Linked DNA regions of Elephas maximus indicus. The main gene of each other region encodes a partner of the protein of the gene in region 3 in a complex. Links are inferred from orthologs where the notes say so. Each region holds a gene or a part of one and is shown on either strand. Other genes may lie near its edges.

Region 1 (7,191 bases), on a different chromosome or scaffold from region 3:
CTATGGCCTGGTCTAAAATGAAGTCTGTGTTGGTGTCGGCATAGAGTGTTGTAATGGATACAAAGCTGCACAATGTTCAACCCTAATGACACATGACAACAGAAATGTGCAAGCACCCAACAGCCATTACTACTCTGACTTCATTGTTACAACACTGATGATGACTTCATTGTAATATTCTTCCGTGTACCTGGAACACTGAATCTTCTTGGGAGGAAGTTACGGGAAAACGCATGCAGGGGATTTGGAAAAAAATGCTGGGTTATGTGAACACGCTCCAAGCATTTGATTGGGATAATATGATGGAAAAGATCGGTGGGAAAATCGTCCATATGGCAAGAACTCTGAATTTAGAACTTGATATCACTGATGTGGAACAGCTCATAGGCCAGAAAGAAGGGGAACTGACAGGTCAGGACTTAATGGGTTTTGAAGGAGAAAGAAATACTGAAGAAGAAAGAAATGAGGAACAGGAATGAGAGAAGTTGTCAAAAAATTTTACAGGGAAAGGATTAGCTAAAGTTTTTTCTAAACTAAATCAGGGGCTTCAGTTGCTTGAAAACATGGACCCAAATGCCGATCACCTTGCTAAAGTCGACAGGGAGATTTGGGAAACAGTGAGATGTAACCATGAGGGAAAAAAAAAAAAGGCCCATAGAAATAACTCTCACTAATTTCCTGACTAAAAATGCTATCACCATTTCCAGGGGTAATGCAAATGATCCAGAACCTTCCACAAGTGGAGTTATTACTCCAACTGACAAAATGCCAATCTGTCCAACTCTTCTTCACTGTTGGAGTAAATTTTTATGATCTGTGTGTTTTTTATATATGTATTAAAATACATATGTAATATGTAATGTTTTCAACCCCCAAAGACAAATAAAGATTGGATTTATAAAGATATTGACAATAAAAGGCAATAATGATGAAAACTAAAAAATAAAGAAGTATTCAACTTACCTCAGAACCAACTTACAATGGAGTTGTCAGAACAGAACCCCATTGTAAGTTGGGGACTACCTGTATATGAAGTACCTGACACATTAAAAAAAAAACAAAGCTCATGATGAGAACTGTAAGAGTTTCAATGGCTGATTTTTTTTTGAAGTAGATCACCAGGTCTTTCTTTTAAGGTGCCACTGGGTGGACTCAAACCTCCAGCCTTTCGGTTAGCAGTCAAGGGTGTTAACTGTTTGCACCACCCAGTGCTGTGTAACAAGGGATAAAAGACGCATACATCCAAAAAAAACCCACAAAAACCCCACTGCCGTTGAGTTGATTTCGACTCATAGTGACCCCATAGGGCTTCCAAGGCTGGAAATCTTTACAGAAACATACTTCCACACCTTTGTCCCACAGAGCCGCTGGCAGTTTTGAACCACCGACCTTTCAGTCAGCAGTTGATTGCTTTAACTGCTGTCCCACCAGGGTTCCTTGACGTACACACAGGGAGGAATTACACAACAGAATAATCATGACTGTACTGATTAACTTTGCTCCCTCAAAACCTAAAATATTTGACTCAGTTTAAGGGTATAAGGAGTCACTCTCAAGGAACTTATCTCCATTGTCATTAATCATTTGAAAAATGTTCATTTAATGCCTACCACACACCAGTCAGAATGCTAAGGAAATGAAGGTCTGAGAAAAGCACAGAAATGATAAATAACACTATAAGAATATACACATGACAGAGTCCCACTGCTATTTCCACCACAGTCTGGGAAGCTCCTTCTTTCATGTCGTACACTTATTGACATGGTTAGGTTCCAAAAACCAGGTCGTTATATGAAAATGGAGGATAACCACAAAAGATCACAAAATCGAGGATGGGTACATCATTACATAACTGCCAAATTACATCATTACGTAACTGCCAAATCACTAAGAATCATGGCATAGCCAAGTTGACACACAACCTTAACCATCACGGCCTGCGTTACTCTCATCTCACATCTTCACATGCATTACTGCCAGACGTACATCGTTAATGCACAAAATAGTCGGCTGGTTTTGCTATTGTCATAAATGCGAAACGTCACATGATAAGAGAGTATATAAGTGAGGAGTGAGGAGTAGATTTAGTCTTTCCTGTTATCCAGTTCTCTCACTCAATAAATACTTGTTGAGTGTTTCCAGCACGGTTCTAAACCCTAAGGATAGAATAGCGAACAAAACCAAAGCTCTGCTCTCATGAACATATATTCTAGTGGGGGGAGGCGGACATTAAACAAAGAAGTACATATTTAATATGAAAAAATATGCTATGAAGAAAAAAAGCAGGGTACGCAGACTGGGGGGCAGGGGAAGAGGGAGAATTTTATGTAGGTGGCCAGGGAAGGCCTCTTTGATGAGATGAAATCTGAATAAAAAGCTGAAGAAGTTGTGGCTTGATCCACAAAGATATCTGAGGAAGAACATTTCTGGTAAGAGGGAAGGGCAGCCTGTAGGACCATCTATTACTCTGCATCTTAGTTCCTTGCTTGTTTCCTTCACACCACATCATACTTCCTATATATCTCATATTTATGTTTACTTTTTCATTACAAGTCATCCAATAGACTATAAGCTCCAAGTGGGGGCAGAGATCACATACGTCAACGGTGGCGTCCTTGGTGTCTGGAACAGTGTATCTGTTGACTGAATGAATCATTGTTACGCTCAGTACCAATAATAAATAACTCCTAAACTTCATTACCACGCTTTCCACGCTTTCTATCAGAATCCCGACAGCTCCAGGAAGCGGCCAGAGATAATTACTCCCATTCCACAGATAAGGGTGAGACTCAGAGAAGGAAGTGACGAGAGTGGGGAATAACTAGTGGCAACGCGGGCTTCAAAAAGGAAAATACCTTAAGGGCTGAGGCAAAACTCATAGGGGGAGCATTTACCGAGGGGATGGGGTCAGATTAGGCCGTGGTAACCTGGAAAGAGACGGCACGATAGGCCCCTTTCCCGAGACCTTGGAGAAAGCAACGCAGTTACGCGAAGCCTAACAGGGCCTGCGCTGAGAGTGCAAAGCCGCCCTGAAGGGAGCACCTTAGAACACACTCACCTGGTCGACGTCGTCCGCCATGTTTCAAACCCTGCGCCCTTTCCCTCCTCTCGCGAGAACATGCCTAGCATCCGGCGCCCGTGAACGGGAGGACGCAAAGCACCGGAAGTAGACAGATCAGTATTGTTCCTTCTTCGTGCAGTTCACTTTGGCCATTCGGAGCTGGGGCGGAGCTTGTCCAAGCCGGAGGGGGTGTGGCCATCCCCGCCCCGCTCAGGGGCGGAGCTCGCGCGCAGGCTGGTTTCCGCGGCCGGATGCGTCACTCGCGTGCAGAATCTCACCGGGAGCTATGGGTCGGAGACGTGCTGTCGGCGGGGAGCCGCGGCGACGCCAGCCACGCGGACGGAACGCTGAAGACCGGAACCCGGCCCGGCGTGAGGAGGAGGAGGAGGCAGGTGAGAGCGAGGCCGACAGGGCCGAGGGGTGAGATGCTGAGGGCGGGCGGGAGGCAGGCCCGCGAGCGGATGCGTGAGACGGTGTTACTTAACGATCGGCTAGGGAGGCAGGCGGAGCCCTGCCGGGCCGTTATGTAACTGGTCCGGCCCTCCCCGACTTCCCTGCGCCTTTGTCCTCCACACCACGAGTGTAATGTGTCCCGAGCCATCCCCCTGGAGACCTACCTGACCACGAGCTCACCTGCATAATCTCCTTCCTGCTCCCTGTTACCCACAGGATAAAACCGAGTGTTACCTGTCTCATCGCAGATGCTCAAGGCTGAATGGGGAAGAGACGTTGCAGTGTTTTGCATGTCCCCAGAAGACGGACCAGGGCGTAGAATTACTTTAGTGTGCTGACTCCCAGAGTAATATCTTCAGCTAAGTCTTACCCAGAGTTCCAGTCTAGGCTCTGACTCTATTTCTTTATGGAGCTCTTGCATATGAATTGGCTTCTTATATTTATCACAGGTAAAGCAAAGCTCTTCCATTTCCCCTTTAAACTTGTTCCTTCCCCAGTTTTTCTCATCTCAGTAAGTAAGCCCTTCAGCCACTTGTTAAAGCAAAATCCTCCTTTCCTGCCTTTTCCTTATGTACACAACATTGCAATCCATCAGCGAGTCTTGTCAATTCAACCTCAGAAATAGATCTCATACCTGACTGCTTCTTTTAATTTTCGTCACCACAGCCCTTGTGCAAACCACCATCACTTTCAGTTAAATGACTGCACTTGTCTCTTTCCTGGTCTCCCTCTTTGCCTCATTCCCCTGCAGTGGGTTCTCCACTCAGCAGACTCAGATCATGCTACTTCAAACTCCAGGGCTTCACATTGTTATTAGCATAAAATCCAAATTCCTTACCATGACTTACAAGATCCTGCATGATTTGGCTACTGCTGCCTCTCCTACCACTGTTTTCCTTGCCAGATATGCTTCTTACTGGCCTCCTTTCTGTTCCTCAAACTTGCCAAATTATTTCTCACCTTGAGCCCTTGCCTTTAATGTTCCTTCTGCCTAGAATGTCCTTCCTGGCTCTTGCCATGGCTGATTTCGTCCATCCCTTTAGGTCTCAACCCAGAGCTTTCTGTCTAAGGTGGACGTCCCCAAGTACTCTATCATACCCAGTGCCGTTGAGTCGATTCTGACTCATAGTGACCCTACAGGACAGAGTAGAACTGCCCCATAGAGTTTCCAAGAAGCGCCTGGCAGATTCGAACTGCTAGTGCCCCAATTATTGCCCTCATAAGTCTTATCGTCTGTAATGCTCTTGTTAATTTATTGTTTCTTTTGCCTGTCTCACCAGAATTTAAGTTCCATGAACACGTGTCACTTTTTGTTGTATCCCATTTTTGTCTTCCCCTCATCCCCACATATAGGAAGTGCTCAATAGATATTTTGAGTAATTGCCGAATGCGTGCTCAAGGAGGGATTTCTGGGGTTCCAGAAATAACTGGGTAGAAGATTTGTTTAGGTAACCAGTAAGAGTTCCTGTAACACTAGATTCTATGATTTTGTACATATTATAAGTTCATCACCCATTAGGAAGGAGTCAAGTGGTAATAATTCCTAAACTTAGGCGATGATTTACCTTATATTTAAATAATAATGTGAGTTCCTTTGTATTCATTCATTTACTCATGTGTTCATTGAAGTGAAATTTTTTTGAGTACCTACTATGTGCTGTACATGATGAGCTAGGTGACATGAGAGATAGAGATTTCCTGGGGGAGCTTAGAGTATACTAGTGTTGATGTGACATTTGCACATAAAATATCTAAGGTGAGGTATATTAAACATCATGGGAGAAGGTACAAAAGCCTTTGTGGCTTCCAAAGGAATAATCAAGTTTGACTGGAGAAATTGTGAAATGCTCTCTGAAGGAGTTATGTTTGATCTTTGACTTTAAGGATGGATAATCTTAGCAAGCAGCCTTGAAAGCCAGTGGATGTTCTAGTCAGAGGGAATGTATTCTGAATGTTACAGTTGAAAACTTACAGGTTTTAATAGGATGGAAATGTTTCCTTTCTGGGTAGTATTCATCCCAGCTCAACACTTACCCTGGGAGCCAGCTTGATATAGCTCTAACACAGTGGTTATGTGCACGTGTGTAAATTATTTTAGGCAAATAATTTAACCTTTCTGAAGCTCATCTGTGAAACAATCTTACCTTGCAGGGTGATTGTGAATGTTCATAGTGATAGCATATAAAGCTTCTGGCCTGGCACCTGGTCCCAAGTTAGAGCTAGCTAATATCATTCAGCTTAAACGTAGGTGTCTTAGCCTCAGTTCTCTAGAGGAGCAAAACCAATGAAGTATACATAAAGATACATAGAGAGAGAAATTTTACTTCAAGGAAATTGTTCACACAGTTGCTGAGGCTGGTAAGACCCACATCCATAGGTCAGGCAGCAGGCTGAAGACCTCTGCTGGTTCACGTGGTTGCAGGAGCTGATGAACCCAAAATGTGCAGGTCAGGCAGCAGGCCAGAGACTCCTGCACGCTTGAGTCCCAAGAACTGGAGGTCAGGAGATGAGAAGAGTCCAAGTTGAGAAAGAGAGGGAGCTTTTCCAGAATATCCTTTTATATACCAGAGGCAAGCTGCACCCCCAAGGGGACTCCCCTTTCGACTGATTGGCTGCTCACATCAAATCATAAAATAGAAGGTAATTATATAGTGTCTGCCAAACCACTGAGAATTAGCCTAACCAAGTTGACACATAACATTAACCATCACAGTAGCTAAGGATACCCCCAGGCTTCACTCAGACTTTGCCAGCCAGCAGAGTTAAAACAAGTTTCCAAGGCAGCTTCCGGGATCTGAAGAGTTATAATCTTTGCTGTGGTTCAGTGGAGGGGCACAGACTTAGCAATTGTGGTTTGGGCTGCAGGTGACACTGCCGATGACTCTTCAGTGTAGAAATTCTTATAGAACTCTCGGTTTTAACAGCATGCAAATGAAAGTGACACTTGGTTGCTTGCGGCAGTTAGGAACAAAGAAAACAGTCTTCCACATTATTTGTTTATATTGGGGCACCTCTGATTTCTTCATAATTCTTTCATTGATGTAATTCATTAATTCCTTCAACAAATATTAACTGAGCATCTACTATTTCCAGGCACTATTCTGTGTGCTGAAAGTGAAAAAGACAGACAAGGTCCCTGCTCTCATAATGCTTATATTCTTTTGGGAGGGGTGGGTAAGGTAGACAACAAGTTAAAAAAAAATTCACATGGCAATAAGAGCTATGAAGAAAATAAAACAGGATGCTGTAATAAAGCTGATAGAGATAGCTAATAGGATGAGTAGCCAGGGAATGCCGCTAAGGAGTGATATTTTGAGCCAATTATTGGATATTGTGAAGGAGCCATTCATAGGAAGTCGTGGGGAGAAAGAGTTCTCCAGAGTAAACAGTAGGTTCAAAGGTTCTTAGTGTATCGATTATATCTGACAGTCTAGGAGCCCTGATCATCAAAGACAAAGTTGAGGAGTCGGACTGAGCGGCAGAGGGAGGGAGAGAAAATTCAGAAGCAGGGTGCCAGTCTTGAGCTAGCCAGCACCCTGCAGGCTGGTTCAGCTGGTGCACGTGGCCATAGACCTGTGTGAGCCAATTCAACAGCATAGGTCCTCGTTAGCATAGGGATATATTCCTAAAGTCTATTTTCAGCTGCAGCAGCCAAGGGGGAGTTGCAGGTTCGTGAT
Region 2 (7,993 bases), on a different chromosome or scaffold from region 3:
CAAATGTCCATCACACGTAAAATAGTGAAATACATTTTGGTACATCACCCATGGAATATTACAGAGCCATGAACATCTATCTGGATGAACCTCAAAAACATGTCTCACAAAAACAAAAGGGAAAATCAAAAGACTACATACAGTAAGACTCCACTTACATCAAGCACGAAACAAAACACTGTGCAACTTAATGGTACATATATGAGATAAAACTGTAAAGTAGAAAATAATGCAATGAAAATTCGAGACAGCAACTACTCAAGCAGGAAAGGAAGCAGATACAACCAGGAAGGGGCCTACAGGAGCTTCTAAGGTACTGGTACTTCTTAAGCTGAATGGTGTTAGGAGACAATTCTCTATGGGTCTCACTTTTCTGCACATCTTGTGACCAGAGGCACTGCCAGCCTCTGCTGCAGATCATCTTGTCAGGGATGTTGGTACAGTGAACAGCCTTGAAAGAGAGAAACAGTGTTTCCTTACAAAGTAAAGGCAAGGTTACTGTCCGTTATAAAAGATCCAGGTTCTCAAAGCTCAGGGTTCCTCTCCCGTGAGGCACCGTGTGTACAGGTGAACCAAGCCGCCCTGTGGGAACTGACTCAGGGAACTCACACAGATGCTGGTAGTCTCACCACTGCTACTGCTGTGAGTAATAAACTGTCCTTTGTCTTTGAACCAGGAGTTCCATATTTTTTATCAGCATCCATGAAACTGTGCCAGACTAACTTGTTAGCCTGCAAATAGGATAAAATCTTAGACCTTTCACAGTTCTTGGCAAGTGGTAGATTTATGGATATATATTCATGCTCATCTTTAAACGGTACCTGTTCACTGTAAATTCAGTCCATCTTAATGCCTGTGATATATTTCACAATTTTTTTTAAAGACATTAACAGTAACTGGAATCCTAATACGTCCACCAGAGAAAACAATCTCCTCACCACAATTATGCAAAATATCTCACAAACCATTTCCCTTGCCAGGAAGGGGATACCTGAGGCTGACACAGTTATTTAAGTAAAGGAAGTCAGAGAATACCCTGAAGTTATTATTCAAAGATAATCAAGCTCTTTCTATGAGCAGGAAGCCCTGGTGGCGTAGTGGTTAAGTACTACGGCTACTAACCAAGAGGTCGGCCGTTCGAATCTGCCAGGCGCTCCTTAGAAACCCTATGGGGCAGTTCTACTCTGTCCTATAGGGTCACCATGAATCGGAATCCATTCGAGGACACTGGGTTTGGTTTGGTTTTCTATGAGCAAGATGCTATACTAGACCCTGCGCATAAAACAAAAATATATCAAACAGATAACCTGACCAAGAAATTTAAGAGCAAATATTACAGTATAATCATATACAGATAACCAGTACCACAAGGTACAAGAGACCCCTCCAGACACCGCCCCCCTCCGCTAGCATGTAGATGAGTGATATACGCATCTGCCATTTCAATAGACTTCTACTAACTCACCAGAATACAAGTATACAGGAATATATTGAAGTCAAGAGTACAAAATTGGGAGAAGGAATAGAGGATGTAATTGGGTTGGACAGGAAAAGTTACAAAGGTGATAACCAGCTGCTGTGAAGTGGACTCCAACTCAGGGCAACCCCACATGTGTCCGAGTAGAACCGTGCTCCACATGGTTTTGAATGGCTGATTTTTCCGAAGTAGGCCACTGAGGCACTTCTGGGTGGACTCGAACCACCACCCTTTCAGTTAGCAGCCAAGCATTACCATTTCCACCACCCAGGGACTCCTCAGAGGTGGCAGGCACCTATTTGATGAGCGGTAGACTTTCAACAGGATTCCCTGAGTGGCACAAATGGTGAAGCACTTGACTACTAACAGGAAGATTGGTAGTCTGAGCCCACCAAGCAGTGCCTCAGGAGAAAGCCTGGTGATCTGCTTCTGAAAGGTCGCAGCCTAGAAAACCATACAGAGCAGGTCCCATCTGCACACATGGGGACGCCAGGAGTTGGAATCGACTCCATGACAACAACAGACTTTCAACAAGTAGGAAGAGAGAGCACTCTACACAGAAAACCAAGGCTGGGCGATGGTTCTCCAGATCTCACCCTCTCACAAGTACTAGGGGACACCGAAAGAGCCCAGAGGAAGGAGGCAAAGGGGGAATTCATGGAGGGAGTAACAGTTTCACTGGCAGGGCTACTTCCACTAATTTAGAGACAGACCAGAATATGAAACCCACCTGCCCAAACCAGAGTGACTCAATCTCAGAGGAAGGACCAGAATCCAGACCTCCTGACTGCTACACCCCAAAGGGATAACGGGGTAGTTTTATGCAGGTGCACAGCACTCAGGCTCTTAACTGAACGGTCTGATCCCAGAAATTACAGCAAAACTCACACACCTCAGCTTTGTTGTAAAAAGTGAAGGAGTTAACACCTGAGAAGTAATCAACCCAGTGCCGGACCCTCCATAGGGATTCAGTAAAGGCAGGCTGCTGTTAATATTAACAAAAATACTACAACTACAATTATTAATATTAGCGGTCCCTAAGTGGTGCAAACAGCTAAGCGCTCGGATACTAACCTAAAGGTTGTCGAGTGGAACCCACCCAGAGGCGGCTCAGAAGAAGGGCTTGGCGATATGCTTCCAAGAGGTCACAGGCTTAAAACCCTACAGAGTGCAGTTCTACCCTGCACACATGGGCTTGCCATGAGTCCCAATCAACTCGATGGCAACCATTCGGGTTTGGGCTTTTCATTACTAATACTAGTACTGTCCTCGTTGACATCTGGATTCCCCCACCCCCACTCCTTGCAGGGAAGTCTCAGAAAGTCGGAAAGAAAGGACGAGGAAGGGTGGAGCCCGGCCCAACCCGGCCCGGCCCGGCCCCGCGCACCTCGCACCTCCCGCTCAGGCTCCGAGTCCTCATCCGCCTCGCGCTCCCGCTTCACCCGCACCACTGGGTAGGCGGGCGCCGGGGCCTCGCGAGCGCTCGCAGGCTCTGCCTCCCGCTTCACGCGCACCGGGCTGCCCCGGGAGCTCGCCGCCTCGGGCTCCCGCTCCCGATCTCGCTCCCGCTTGACGCGACCCGAGCTGCTCCGGGACTCGGATTCGCGTTTCCCGCGGGCAGAACCACGAGACTCCCGCTTGGACCGGCTAGACATCGCCACTACCAGCCGACCCGCCCGCGCAGACGCCAAGCACGCTGGGAGTGCCCGTCACGCGGCCAATCAGGAGCGGCGCTGTTACCGAGCCCAGGGGACTCTACGAGTCGCTTATGGGGACAAATCGCGCCGCCGGAAACTTGCAGGAGTCATCGCGCTTTTAGCGTTTTGCTTGCCATTGCGAGCGCTCTTGAGAATGTTTTGCGGGCCTACAGCCACCTTACTCGTAATTTCCAGTTTCAAGAAGCAGGAACCCTTTATTGGCAATCGCGTTTCTGAATCAAAGAAGGTGTCATACGGCCCTAGATTTGTTCAAGATATTTGTGACTGAAAACCAGAATCGGGAGGCTGGCTCCCACGGTCTCGGGATGTCAGAGCCTGACGCTCCTGCGCAGTACAACTAGGCGACATCCCCTTTTTGCAGCACCCTGGTGGCCCCAATTCCGACAGCGTTGCTCTTAGTACCACCAAACCAAACCAAAAAAAAAAAAAAAAAGACAAACCAAACCCACTGTCGTCGAGTCGATTACAACTCACAGCGACCCCATAGGACAGAGTGGAACAGCCCCGCAGGGTTTCCAAGAAACAGCTGGTGAATTTGAACTGCCGAACTTTTTTTTTGGTTAGCAGCCGAACGCTTAACCACTACGTTGCCAGAGTTTCCCTTGGTACCACAGGAGTAAGCAAATGCCCAATCGGGGCAGATTTACCAAGAAGCTGGTAAAACTCAGGCTTCAGGGCCTGTCACCACCCCCTTCTAACCCCTGTACTAGTATGTTTCTTGTTTTAACAGCTCTGTATGGGGCGGTTCTACTGTGTCCTTTAGGGTCGCTATGAGTCAAAATCGACTGTACAGCAACGGGCTTGGTTTGGTTTCTTAATTGAGTTATAGGAGCCCTGGTAGCATAGTGGTTAAGAGATCGCTTCTAACCAAAAGGTCGGCAGTTCGAATCCACCAGCCTCTCCTTGGAAACCCCCTGGGGCAGTTCTATTCTGTCCTATATATAGGGTCATTATGAGTTGGAATGACTGGACTGCAACGGGTTTGGTTTTCCGATTACTGAGGTATAAGTGACATACAATGAACTGCACATGTTTAAAGCGTACAATCTGGTAAGCTTTGACAAATGTATACACCGGTGAAACCATCACTACAATTAAGATAATGAAGTGTCCCCCTGCCCCACCCATCCAGCTATAGACTAATTTGCATTTCCTAGAGTTTTAAATACACGGACCCTTACAGTACGTACTCTTTTTTTTGCGGGGTAGGGGGGCTGGTTTCTTTCACTCAGCATAATCATTTGGGGATTCTTCCACGTTGTTGGTTTATCAACAGTTCATTCCTCTTGATTGCTCAGTAGTATTCCATTGTGTTGATGTAACACAGTTGGCCCTATTTTAATCATAAATTCCTACCTTTTATCTTTTTTTCAAAAAGAGCTCGAAAATTATATAGGTCTGGCTGGCGGCACGTCTTCGCCCAGGCCGCCCAGCACTTTGCCTCCTACCAACCTAGCAGGCGCGTGCTATCCGTGTCCCCATTTACAAGTGCGGAGACTGAGGCACTGGGGGATTAGGTCACGCGGCTGGTGATGGAGGTTCACAGTATCCTATCACCAGAATAAAGACAGGAAGGCTCCACAAGGGACGTTGAGTAATACAATGGGTGATTTGTACTTTCCTGATGTATTTTGGCTTCTGAGCAGTAAGCCTAAGTCTTGTCTCGCATTGATAATGTTACAAAGGAAACAAACAGCCCGGTCAAGTGGCGGAAGCGCTTCCCTGGCCTCCCCACTCCGCCACTCCCTTGTCATTTCAGCGCGAGCAGCACTCGGCCTCCTTGGCCCGTCCGGGACCGGAAGTCACGACGCGGAGCCGGAAGTTGAGCTAAGGGAGAGGCGGGCCTCTTCCGACGGGAGGGCGGCCGTTGAGACCGTTGAGGCGGCTGCTGCTCCGCGAACAGGGCTTCAGATGGAGGCGGCGCCGGCTCCCGGGCCGGGGCTCTGCTGCAAGCCTGGCGGACGACTGGACATGAGCCACGGCTTCGTGCAGCACATCCGACGGAACCAGATCGCTCGGTATCGCCCCTCCCCGCGCCGGCGCCACCCCCTGCCTGGCCCAGCCGGGCCGCCCCTGACTCCCGCTCGGCTCCCCATAGGGACGACTACGACAAGAAGGTGAAGCAGGCAGCCAAGGAGAAGGCGAGGAGGCGGCACACGCCCGCGCCGACGCGGCCCCGCAAGCCCGATCTGCAGGTGTACCTGCCGCGACGCCGAGGTGAGGCCGCCCGCCCCGCCTGCCTCCTCCAGCCCGCGCGCCCTTCCGGCCCCGGGCCCTCTGCTGCGACGCACTCCCCTTCTCTGTATGGAAAAAAACCACTTCTCGTCCCCCGAGGCTCCGATCACGTCGCCCCTGCCCGGAACCTCTGCTTCAGCCGTCCCCCACCTCGGTTTAGTTATTCTCCCCGGGGAACAGGGAGGACTCATGGCCCCCACTTAAAAATCCCGATTGCTGTTACAGGAGATACTTGTAGCAAAAAGTTGTTTGTGGGTTTGCCCCGCCATACCGTACCTCTGTATCTGCAGTGCTTGGCGGAGGGGAAACCTGGCCCAGCTATAAGTGACCAGGACACAATTGTGGAATAAAACCCAAACCCAGTAAATGGATTTTTCCCTAGCTTCACTGGGATCTAGAGATCAGAGTAACTAACAGTGCAATAGTGCCTTTACCTTTTCCATACGCTAACTTATTTAGTGTTCGTAGGATCCCGTAAGATGGAAATGATTATCACATCTGTTTCACAAGTGAGGAAACTGGGCACAGGGAAGTTAAGTAACTTGCCTGAAATCTGAGAGCTACTAAATGGCAGAGCCTGGATTTGAACCCAGGCAGTGGCTCCAGAGACTGTTCTATCCACTCCTCCAATACCTTCCAATCCTATTCACCAGACAAACAGGCATTGTATACCTACTATGTGAAAGGACTGTGCTGGGTTCCCAGCAATGATATAAAGGTAAATAAAACTGCTTCTAATTGGTAGCACACCACACACACATACACACAATTCAGGGCCCATAAGAAGATTGGGACTTTGTTTTCCTGCGTCATCTCTGTGTGCAAGGGCTCCAACTGCCTCCCTCTCTTCCCTCTCACTTTGGTTCATCCCTCCAGATGGTTCTACTCACACAGGCAACCCAGACTATGAGGAGTCCGGTGACAGCAACAGTAGTGGTGGATCTGAGCTGGAGCCTTCTGGCCATCAGCTTTTCTGCTTAGAATATGAGGCGGACAGCGGAGAGGTCACGTCAGTTATCGTGTATCAGGTACGCCTCCTGTGGAAACAGCTGCAGCCTAAAGGCCCTGGGCCATGGTAGGCGTTACTGCCAGACCCTGAGCTGCTGTCTGACTCAGGGCCAGTGGGAAGAGTGCATTCCACGTGGGAGCATAGGACTATTGGGCAATGCTTTACAAACACGACTCCCTCCCATCTCACAGTGATTTTCAGAAGGGAACAGGGAAGGCTCGTGCCCCCAGTTGAGAATCACTATTACAGGGGATAATCTGGGAAATGACAGAGCCAGCAGGAAGCCGTGAGCCAAACGGAGTTCTGTGAGAGCATTGTCTGGGGATGGGGCAGGCTGCCTTTCCAGAAGAGGCCAGGCCCTGAGCTTCCTGACTCTTCCTCCACGTAGGACGATGACCCCGGAAGGGTGAGTGAGGAGGTGTCAGCACACACGCCTCTGGATCCACCCATGCGAGAGGCCCTCAAATTGCGCATCCAGGAGGAGATTGCAAAGCGACAGAGCCGACACTGAGGGGTTGAAGGCATTGTCTCCAGGCTGGGTTTACTGCATTCAAAGGAGTTCTGTCCACGGAGCTCACTCCTAGCTTGAGGGTGCCAGGACCATTTGCTGATCTTAAGAGCCCTCCCCAGAGCTGCTGCATCTATCCACAGGAGAAGGATGTTGTAGGACTGCCTGCCTCTGTTGCAGCCATTCCTTTACTGTATGTTGACCCATTTGACCAGCCTGATAGTCTGGAATTTCTTGAGAATTTTGTTTGACTAGCTTGGTGTTCTGGAAGCAGAGACTCCGGGAGGAGTTGGGGTCACAAAGCCTTGCGCCATCATGCTGCTTTCACTGCGGTCATGTGCCACCGGACACTTGGCCAATGCTGTTTCACCCAGCTCTACACCCACGTTTGTAATTTTATGGTTCCTTCCTTTTGCCTTTCTGCTCACTTCCATCGAATGCCATGTTTCCTAGGTCTTCTTTTCAGCTCTATTTCTTCATTCTTTTTTCCCATCCATTTGCCTTAGGTAGAGTCCATCAGTTGCCCCTCCACTCCCATTCTCATGTGACTGCCTCTGGATGCCGGTACTATGGGAGCCTCACTGAAGTTGTAGGCAGTGGTCTGTGCCCCTCCAACTGCTCAGCACCTTGGAGGTGGGGGGTCCTGGGGATGGATCTACCTTTCTAAAAAGCTCTCCAGGTAATTCTGTTACCAGCAAAGTGGGAGGCCCTTCATTTTGGGGGTGTATCTGCAAGCACGTCTCCGTCTTCCATGGCCTTTGCAAGTTCCTCACATGCACCACTACCTTGTACTGTCTAATAGGAGACTTAGGAAGAAGATACCGGAACTTAACTGCAATGATTTCTTGTAGCAAAACTGGCCTTGGTTAGGGCTATGGAATTCCAGCTTTTACCTCATCCCTAGTTGTCTCTCCTCTGTTCAGACTAAAGAAATTATCAAAGCAAGCTTGAAACTGACTCTCCAAAAGTGACTTAACAGTCTTGAACAAATCCACAAAGGGGATTTCAACATGAGTAAGAAGTCCTGAATGATGCCCCAAAGGGAG
Region 3 (7,743 bases):
GGAAGACCGAAGAATTGATGTCTTTGAATTACGGTGCTGGTGAAGAATACTGAATATACCTCGGACTGCCAAAAGAGCAAACAAATCTGTCTTGGAAGCAGCACAGCCAGGATGCTCCTCAGAAGCAAGGATGGCAAGACTTTGTCACATATTTTGGACATGTTATCAGAAGGGATCAGTTCCTGGAGAAGGATATCATGCTTGGCAAAGTAGAGGGTCAGCAAAAAAGAAGACCCTCAAGGAGATGGACTGACATGGTGGCTGCAGCAGTGGCACAGTGTTGTTCTGTTGTAGAGTCACTATGGTGGGAACTGACTCAACAGCACCTAACAACAACAACATGCGAGTGTTTGGGATGCAGAAAAGTCCTGGGTCATTGTCATGGATTGACCCTCATCTGTCCCTCAAACATGTGTGTCAACTTGGCTAGGCCATGGTTGTCCTCCATTTTGTGTAACTATCCTGTGTATTGTAAATCCTAATCTCTGCTTGTGGTTAACAAGGCAAGACTAGGTTATGTTAAAGAGAATAAGCGTGGGATGCAACACCCTTACTCAGGTCATAGCCGTGATCCTATGTAAGGCGAGCTTTCCTGGTGTGTGGCTTACATCGCCTTCTATCTTACAAGAGATGAAAGGAGAGAGAAGCGAGCAGAGAAAGGGGACTCGATTACCACCAAGAAAGAAGAACCAGGAGCAGAGTATGTCCTTTGGACCTGCGGTCCCTGCACGGAGATCCTCCCAGACCCATGGTAAGACTGATGCCAAGACACATGTAGATTCCCAAGGAACACAAGGTCCACAAATGTTGAAACGAGGACCTCGCCCCAGAGCTGACAGAGGGAAAAAGCCTTCCTCTAGAACTGGAGCCCTAAATTCAGAAATCTAGTCTCCTGAACTGTGAAAGAAGTTCCTGTTTGTTAAAGCCAAAAAAACAGAAGCTGTCCAGCCCTTCCCTTCAGGGACTGGCCAGGGAGCCACAGAAGACACCACACATTACCTCATCATAGTTGGTGTCATTCAGGTCCTCGTCATCGTCATCTGCAGCCTGGTTTTTCTTCATCTGGTCCCCAACGGTCCTCTTGCCTGGTGGAGCATGGCGGTCATCCACAGGGTCATTCGCATCCCGGGCAGGGCCAATGTCCGACCGGGTGGTAAAACCAGTGGCACTGCAGGAGACCCCAGGACATCCATATGGATTCCACCCCCTGCCACATCTGGGTGACCCTGTTCCTGTGTTTTCCTCTCCAACCTCGACCATCGCTTAATAACACCCCTCTAACACCTCAGAAACCTCTGAAAGACCCTGGGGTGGTAAGCTAAGCATGGCCACTTGCAAACACACTGGTGTGCTCATTCCTCTAGGCAATGACCCCTCTAACCTACCCTGGGCGCCACCAAGGAGACCTCTTCTCACCCAAGCCTTCCCTGCACAGGACATCATGGCCTCCCACCTCCCAAATTCTAGCCTCATGTTTCCAACACCCCGCTGATCATCTCCACCTCCACTCCAATCAGTCTCTCAAACCCTACTTGGCCAAGACTGCACTCCTCTCCTGCTCCAGGTACCCTAGTTCAGCTGAAGGCAGCACATGGCATCAACTCTGCCTCCCTCCCTCCCTCCTTCCCCAGCCCCATCCAATCTGCTCCAAGTTCTTTTGATTCTACATCTGAAATCTCTCCTCCTCAGATTGTATGGCCCCCAATATAGCTGGATGCCAAGTTAGCCACCCCTGCCTGTAGCCTTCCCTTGCTCTACCCGATTCATCCAGGCTTCAACACAAGATGACATGTCACTGTCTTTCCAATGCTGACACAAGCTCTAACCTAATGTGCAATGCTCCACTGGCCCCTCCAGCTGCCTTCTACTCACTGCACATTCCACTCATATGGGACTCCATGCTGTTCCGTCTCCCTCCAAGCCACTCCTGTTTTTCACTAACCACATACAGAATGTCAGTCTCCTCTACCCCTGCCATGTTTCTGCATCTCTAAACCTGACCCTCCTCCTAAATCTGGATCAAAGGCTTCTCAACCTGTTCCTCTTTATGTGGTTATTTATGCAAATACCTCACCTTCCCTAGTGAAGGCAGCTCCTCTGTACAGGGGGTCAACATCTGAGTCTTGCGTGTACCCCACAGATTCTTAGTACTCACAAGAGAGAAACGCAGTAGTTTTCCAAACCAAATGAATATCCAAACAAATAGGATAATGACTGCTCAGTTATTCAACAACCTAGGGTGGCCATCTGTGTTGCAGGTGTGGGAGACCAATCACAAAGTTCATAGATGCCATTCCAGCCCCTGTGGAGCTGACATTCTGAACAAGCAGCTTATGATGGCAGATACTAAAGAGAAAGAATGGAACACTAGGAGTGGCCACAACAGAGGGACCTAACCAGCCCGGGCGCTGAGGAAAGGCAAGACAAGCTGGAGGAGTGGGCCTGCCCCGTCTGGGGAAGCCGGTCCTGGAATTCCCACTACATGTCAGGGATTCATCTATCACAGCGGATCTCAAGCGGGCATTATCTATCGCCCACTGGAGAGACGCAAAAAAGGGCTCAGATATGTACCTAAACCCAGAAACACTCTACTAAGTAGTAGGCAGGTTGACAGACAGGTCTGTCCTGACTCCAAAGCCCCTTGCCTCCCACAGGGCTTAGGCCAAACCACCTAGTATCTCTCAGAGCCTCATTTACTATTGTCTGTCTTCCCCGTCGCGATCCACGGGATGCCCTAGGTCCTGCTGCCTCCAGGTAGAAGTGCGGGCAGAGTCAGGGCGGGCCTCCAGCGTCGACCAGGCAAGCAGAGCCGCGGACGGAACCGGGCCGGGCCAGAGGGAGCAGCCCCTACGCCCGACCCCGGCCCGGAATCCCCTCCCGGAGCGCGCGTCCCGCCCCGCCCGCCCGGCCTCTGCTGGCCCCGCGACCCAGGCCTCACCCGCGGCCCAGCCCCGGCACATAGCCGAGCGGCGCGGGCATGCCCAGGAACGGCTTCTTCTTCTTGTTCATGGCCGCGGTAACGCCAAAGACCGGGAAGAGAAGAAGTGAGGCCGCAACCGCAGCGAAAAAGCAGAGACCCAACTGCCTGGGCGCAGGAAGAGGACGCGGCCCCACGTCACTCGCGCCCCGGAAGCAGAGTGCGCCATCCAAGCGAAGCCCCGCCCCTCAGGCTCCCCGGCCGGAAGTTCCGGAAACGCTGCTTCGACGACTTCCGGCCGCGGCTGTAGCACTGGGGGGCCGGCAGGCGCTTGTGCGGGAGCGCCAGCTTGTGGCGAGGTGGGAGGTGCCCGGCCGGCCCGAGGTGTCAAAGGGCAACACCAGCCTGTGTAAACCCGCGGAACCCCAAAACTGAGCCTATGGCCTTTACGCTTCCCGAGTGTTTGCTCTGTGCGGTGCCCGAGGAGACCTGCCCGAGGGCCCGGACCGTGTGGTCTCCTCCCTCTGACCCGACCCAGCAGCCCTTCCGAGTGGCCCTGGCAGGGCTGACCACCTGAGCGGGGCGTGCGCAGCTGCGCAGGGTTGTGTTGTGATGGGGACACCCTGTGTGCACACTCTCGCCCCTGCACCTTGGCGCCAGATTCCTCGGCCCCAGTTTGACCAGTCCCTGGTGGTCAGCAAAGCGCCCCACACCCCTCCCCACACCCCCCAGGCCCTGGATACTCTAGCGAGGGCGCGGCAGCTCCTGGCACAAGAGACCCCTGAATGCAGTCTAATTCACAAGAACAGATACATACCGTGGATGGTCGCATGAGCATACGTGTGCGGGCTCCAGGCACGCGAGTGAATTCTATGAGAGCATTTGTTCATGTGTGTTGTGGGGCCTTTGTCCAGGTCAGACTTCGTGTGCATGCACGTATTTACACGAACATGCGAGACCAGGCTTCTGGTGGACCGCACCAGCCTTTCCCTGCTCCCAGCCTGCCCATCACTTCTCACTGGGGGTCCCTCCCACCTGCTACAGCCTTCCTTGGCGTCCCTCCCCACACCAGACCCATTCCCCCCTCAGTTACTGCGTCTCATATAACGTCCAAGCCTGAGCCAGATTCTGGGGCTACTGAGGGAAGGGGAAAGACGCTGGGTCCTCGAAAGACGCTGGGTCCTCAGAGCGCCTTGTGGTTAGGGAAGCGCAGGCCAAGTTGGCATCTCTGAGGAAGCAGGTGCATATTGAAGCGAGGCCCGGGGAGAGGTCCGTAGAACTGTGCTGAAGGGCTAAGCGAGTAAGCCTGTGAGGGAGGAGGGGAGGCGTGGCTGGGAGGGCTCCGTGGGGAGAAGCCCCCAGAGGGATGTACAAGGCCCCCCCCACACACACAGGGGGACCGACATGTCTTCACGTACCCCACCCAGAGGCCCCTGCAGACGCCCGCCCCCAGCAGGTGCACAGGGACACGCGTCCCCGGAGCCGTGCCCAGGTGCGCACGGTTGCCCCTGGCCCCGGCTGACCACCTCTGCACATGTAGACCGGCGCGCGCGCCGCCACACCTCGGAGCTCCTGGAGCGCGCCCGGCGGAGAGGGCTTGGCGGGCAGGTGCCTCGCCGCGCAGACTCGCCGGACGCGGGGACCGGCTGGGCAGCGGGGACCGGCGCGGGGCGGGGCGGGGCGGTGGCGCGCGATCCCCCGTGCCACACGGCCCCCCTGCGCTCGGCGAGGGGCGTGTGAATACGGCCCGGGACCGCGGGGACCCATGTTCACCGAGCTGAGGTCCAAGCTGAGCCCCCCGCGAGGCCGCGCCGGGGCCGTGCGCGCCGGCTTCGGGGAGCGCCGGGATGTGGACGGTGAGCAGGGCCGCTGCGGGCCAGGCGGGGACCAAAGGGGGGAAGGCGGTTCTGGCCGAACGGAGTCCCTGTGGCCTTTGTCCTGCGCGGGAGGGGAAGGGAACGGCCGGCCTCAGGCCTTGGGGGTCAGCGCGCCTTTGGCTTGGTGGTGGTCCAGCCGGCGCTCCTGTCCTCGGACTGGCACCGCACTGGGGTCACCTTTTTCTTCGCTCACAGAAAACTCTCCCGAGCCCAGGCAGCCGGGCCGAGAGCAGGATGAGGCCATGGCCTGGCTCGGTCCCCTCCCTCGCCCCCTCCCCGCCCCATTTCCTGCGGGAATTCTGACATTGGGCTAGGAGGGACAGACCAACGGACCGGCAGACGGATTGACTGACGGGAGCCCCCTCCAGGACGCGAGCAGGAAATGGGCGGGGCCGGCGGGCCGGGGCAGGTGCGCGCGGGCGGAGGCGGCCGACGGTCGTACTAGATCCTAGGGAGCGCCCCAGCGTGCCGCCCAGCAAGAGCCAGACCCCAGTGCCTCTCCTGGAGGGGCCGGGCGCAGAACACGTCCTTCCCACGTTACTAGAAGCCACTCTGGGGCTATGGTTACACTAGCCACACTCTGTGTCCACTCCTAGACCTCAACTTTAGTCACCTGGGCCCATCTGATCCCTGAAAGTTGCAGGAAGCCCCCTGTGTGGGGAAGGGGGAGCCAAGGATAGGATGTGAGTTTCCCGTATTCCTGAGACCTCCTGGTTAAGACCTGGGGGGCGGAGGCTGTGGGAGCGAGGGTCTCACATTCTACTGCTGGGGGGCTTCTCCGCAGAATCTACCTTGCTCTGCTGGGTCAGGACCAGCGCTGTAAAAGTGGGGCAAGTCTGTACCCCACCCTCCACATCTCTCCCAGACCCCACACAAAGCCTCCATCCATTCATTCACTTATTCACTCACCCCCTGTGGGCCAGGCCGCCTGCTGGGAACAGAGATCCCCCTGAGTGGGAGGGGTACCATCCAGGTGTCTGACTTCCCTGAGCTCTCCTCTTGGCAATGATTCCAGAAATTATTGGGGAACTAAAACCTGGTGAGTGTAATCCAGTTGGTGTGGAAAGAGGGCTGATATGCATCCTACACACCTGTGCCAAGCAGCACATGCCCCTGGCACCCACCACAAACCGGTGCTGTGCGGTCCTAGGGGTCCATGGGAAGTGGGGAACAGCCCATGCAAAGATGGCCCAGCAAGAAAGCCCAGAATGTGTTTGGGGCCTGCCCAGGTTCAGGCTCCTTGTTAGTGAGTCACAGTTGGCCAACCAAAGCAGGGGCATTGCCTGGGGGAGGCTCCTGGATGCCTGGGGCCAGCCTCTCCTCAAAGGCTAGCCTGCGTGTACACCAGCATTGTGGGGCCTGTGTGTGGCAGGTGTGCCAGCCCAAGGTGGGAGGCAGGTGTGCCAGCCCAGGATGGACCCTCCCCTAGCAGGAAGCCTTGAGCTTCAGGGAGCACACTTGTGCTCTAGTCTGTCCTGCTCCCCCTGTGTGGGCCATGGGATTGGAAGGGGACTGTGTCTCTAGTTCCTCGTCTTTGACCTGCTCGGTTCCCCGGACAGCTCCAGTACCCTTCCTCCTGCCTTTGGGGTCTTGGGAACCCATTGATGAAGGAGTGGAGGTAGGGCTGGGCAGGGAACTGGCTCATGGCGAAGGGGCCTCCGGGCTTCTCCCTCACCGTTTGCTGACCACACCCGTGCACCCCAGCCACTGCCCACTTCAGCTTCTGCCGGACCCTCCTGGAGCACACGGTATCTGCTGAGAGCATCCCCTGCCACCTGCCCCGGACACCAGGCACCAGCCTCACATGGCATGATGCCCAAAGCCAGAGGGCAGCCAGCGGCAGGCCAGTCAAGCTCCTGCAGCAGCCGGGCTCCGAGCCCCCCCAGGTATGCCTGCCCACCCCTCCCTCAGCCCCACCCTCCCTGTCCCACCCCCTCAATGTTACCTGCCCCCCACCACAGGGCCGGCTGTACTCTGATCATTGTGGCCTGTACCACATGAGCCACTCGCTGGGTGGCCTGACTCGGCCTGTGGTCCTGTGGAGTCAGCAGGATGTGTGCAAGTGGCTCAAGAAGCACTGTCCCCACCACTACCTCATCTACGTCGAGGCCTTCTCCCAGCATGCCATCACTGGTACGAGGTGGGGAAGGGGTAGCCATGGAAGGGGGGGCTCAGCCGGGGGTCGGGGGGGGAAGGGTAAGCAGAGGGAATTTATCCAGGGGGACACCCACCACAAACCGGATCAGTGGGGGGGTCAGCAGTGACAAGGGTCAGTGGGGGGGGAAGGGGAGGCTCAGAGGGGAGGCAGTGGGGAATGGTAAATTCATGGAAGGGTCAATGGGAGAGGGTCAGTGGAGGACTGTGGGGGGGTCCCCAAGTCAGCCTCCTCCCGCCACATGCAACCTGTCCTGGCTCCATCTCTCTTCTCTTTCTGAGTCGGCCTCTCCTGGGTCTTTGTGTCTTTCTGCACAATCTCCTTCGTTGGCTTCCTCAGTCCCTGTTTCTGTCCCTCTGGCCATTCTTTGTTCTGTTCCCATCTTTTGCCCTCCATCCTGGTCCCTCCCTCTTGCTCTCTTGCTCTTTCCTTATCTCTGAGTTTTTGCTTTTCTGTCTTTGTCTCTTCCTTTCTCTGCCTATGTCTCTGCTTTATCTCTTTCCTTCTATATAGGTCTCTCTCCTCCTATGTCTTTGTCTGTCTGTCTGTCTCTCCCCAGTTCTCAGTGGCCCGTGCTGACCTTGGCTCCTGCTCCCTCTCCCACCCCTAGGCCGGGCGCTGCTGCGGCTGAACGCAGAGAAGCTACAGAGGATGGGGCTGGTGCAGGAGGCACAGCGGCAGGAGGTGCTGCAGCAGGTGCTGCGTCTGCAGGTGCAAGAGGAGGGGCGGAGCCTGCAGCTGCTCAGCCAAGGTCAGTGGGGGCCGAGGCTGAGGGACACAGCAGATAATGCCAG

Evidence for each region. Proteins that work in one complex are often made in the same cells at the same time.
Region 1: PRPF6 (region 3) and LSM3 share a complex: the UniProt entries of both Homo sapiens proteins name them as parts of the U4/U6-U5 tri-snRNP complex. The link is inferred for Elephas maximus indicus from reciprocal best matches to the Homo sapiens genes PRPF6 and LSM3.
Region 2: PRPF6 (region 3) and USP39 share a complex: the UniProt entries of both Homo sapiens proteins name them as parts of the U4/U6-U5 tri-snRNP complex. The link is inferred for Elephas maximus indicus from reciprocal best matches to the Homo sapiens genes PRPF6 and USP39.

Annotation. Positions count from the first base shown.
Region 1 is NC_064838.1:39,858,102-39,865,292, forward strand, and holds the start of LSM3 (U6 snRNA-associated Sm-like protein LSm3), read right to left. Parts: upstream 3,163-7,191; 5' UTR 3,080-3,162; coding exon 3,059-3,079; intron 1-3,058. Other genes in the region: XPC (DNA repair protein complementing XP-C cells), read left to right, coding at 3,348-3,453. UniProt on the Homo sapiens protein: Plays a role in pre-mRNA splicing as component of the U4/U6-U5 tri-snRNP complex that is involved in spliceosome assembly, and as component of the precatalytic spliceosome (spliceosome B complex).
Region 2 is NC_064835.1:48,987,953-48,995,945, forward strand, and holds the start of USP39 (U4/U6.U5 tri-snRNP-associated protein 2), read right to left. Parts: upstream 3,163-7,993; 5' UTR 3,133-3,162; coding exon 2,865-3,132; intron 1-2,864. Other genes in the region: C17H2orf68 (UPF0561 protein C2orf68 homolog), read left to right, coding at 5,107-5,213, 5,294-5,780.
Region 3 is NC_064843.1:4,137,586-4,145,328, forward strand, and holds the start of PRPF6 (pre-mRNA-processing factor 6), read right to left. Parts: upstream 3,101-7,743; 5' UTR 3,010-3,100; coding exon 2,939-3,009; intron 1,169-2,938; coding exon 1,000-1,168; intron 1-999. Other genes in the region: SAMD10 (sterile alpha motif domain-containing protein 10), read left to right, coding at 4,683-4,773, 6,499-6,680, 6,756-6,927, 7,560-7,743. UniProt on the Homo sapiens protein: Involved in pre-mRNA splicing as component of the U4/U6-U5 tri-snRNP complex, one of the building blocks of the spliceosome.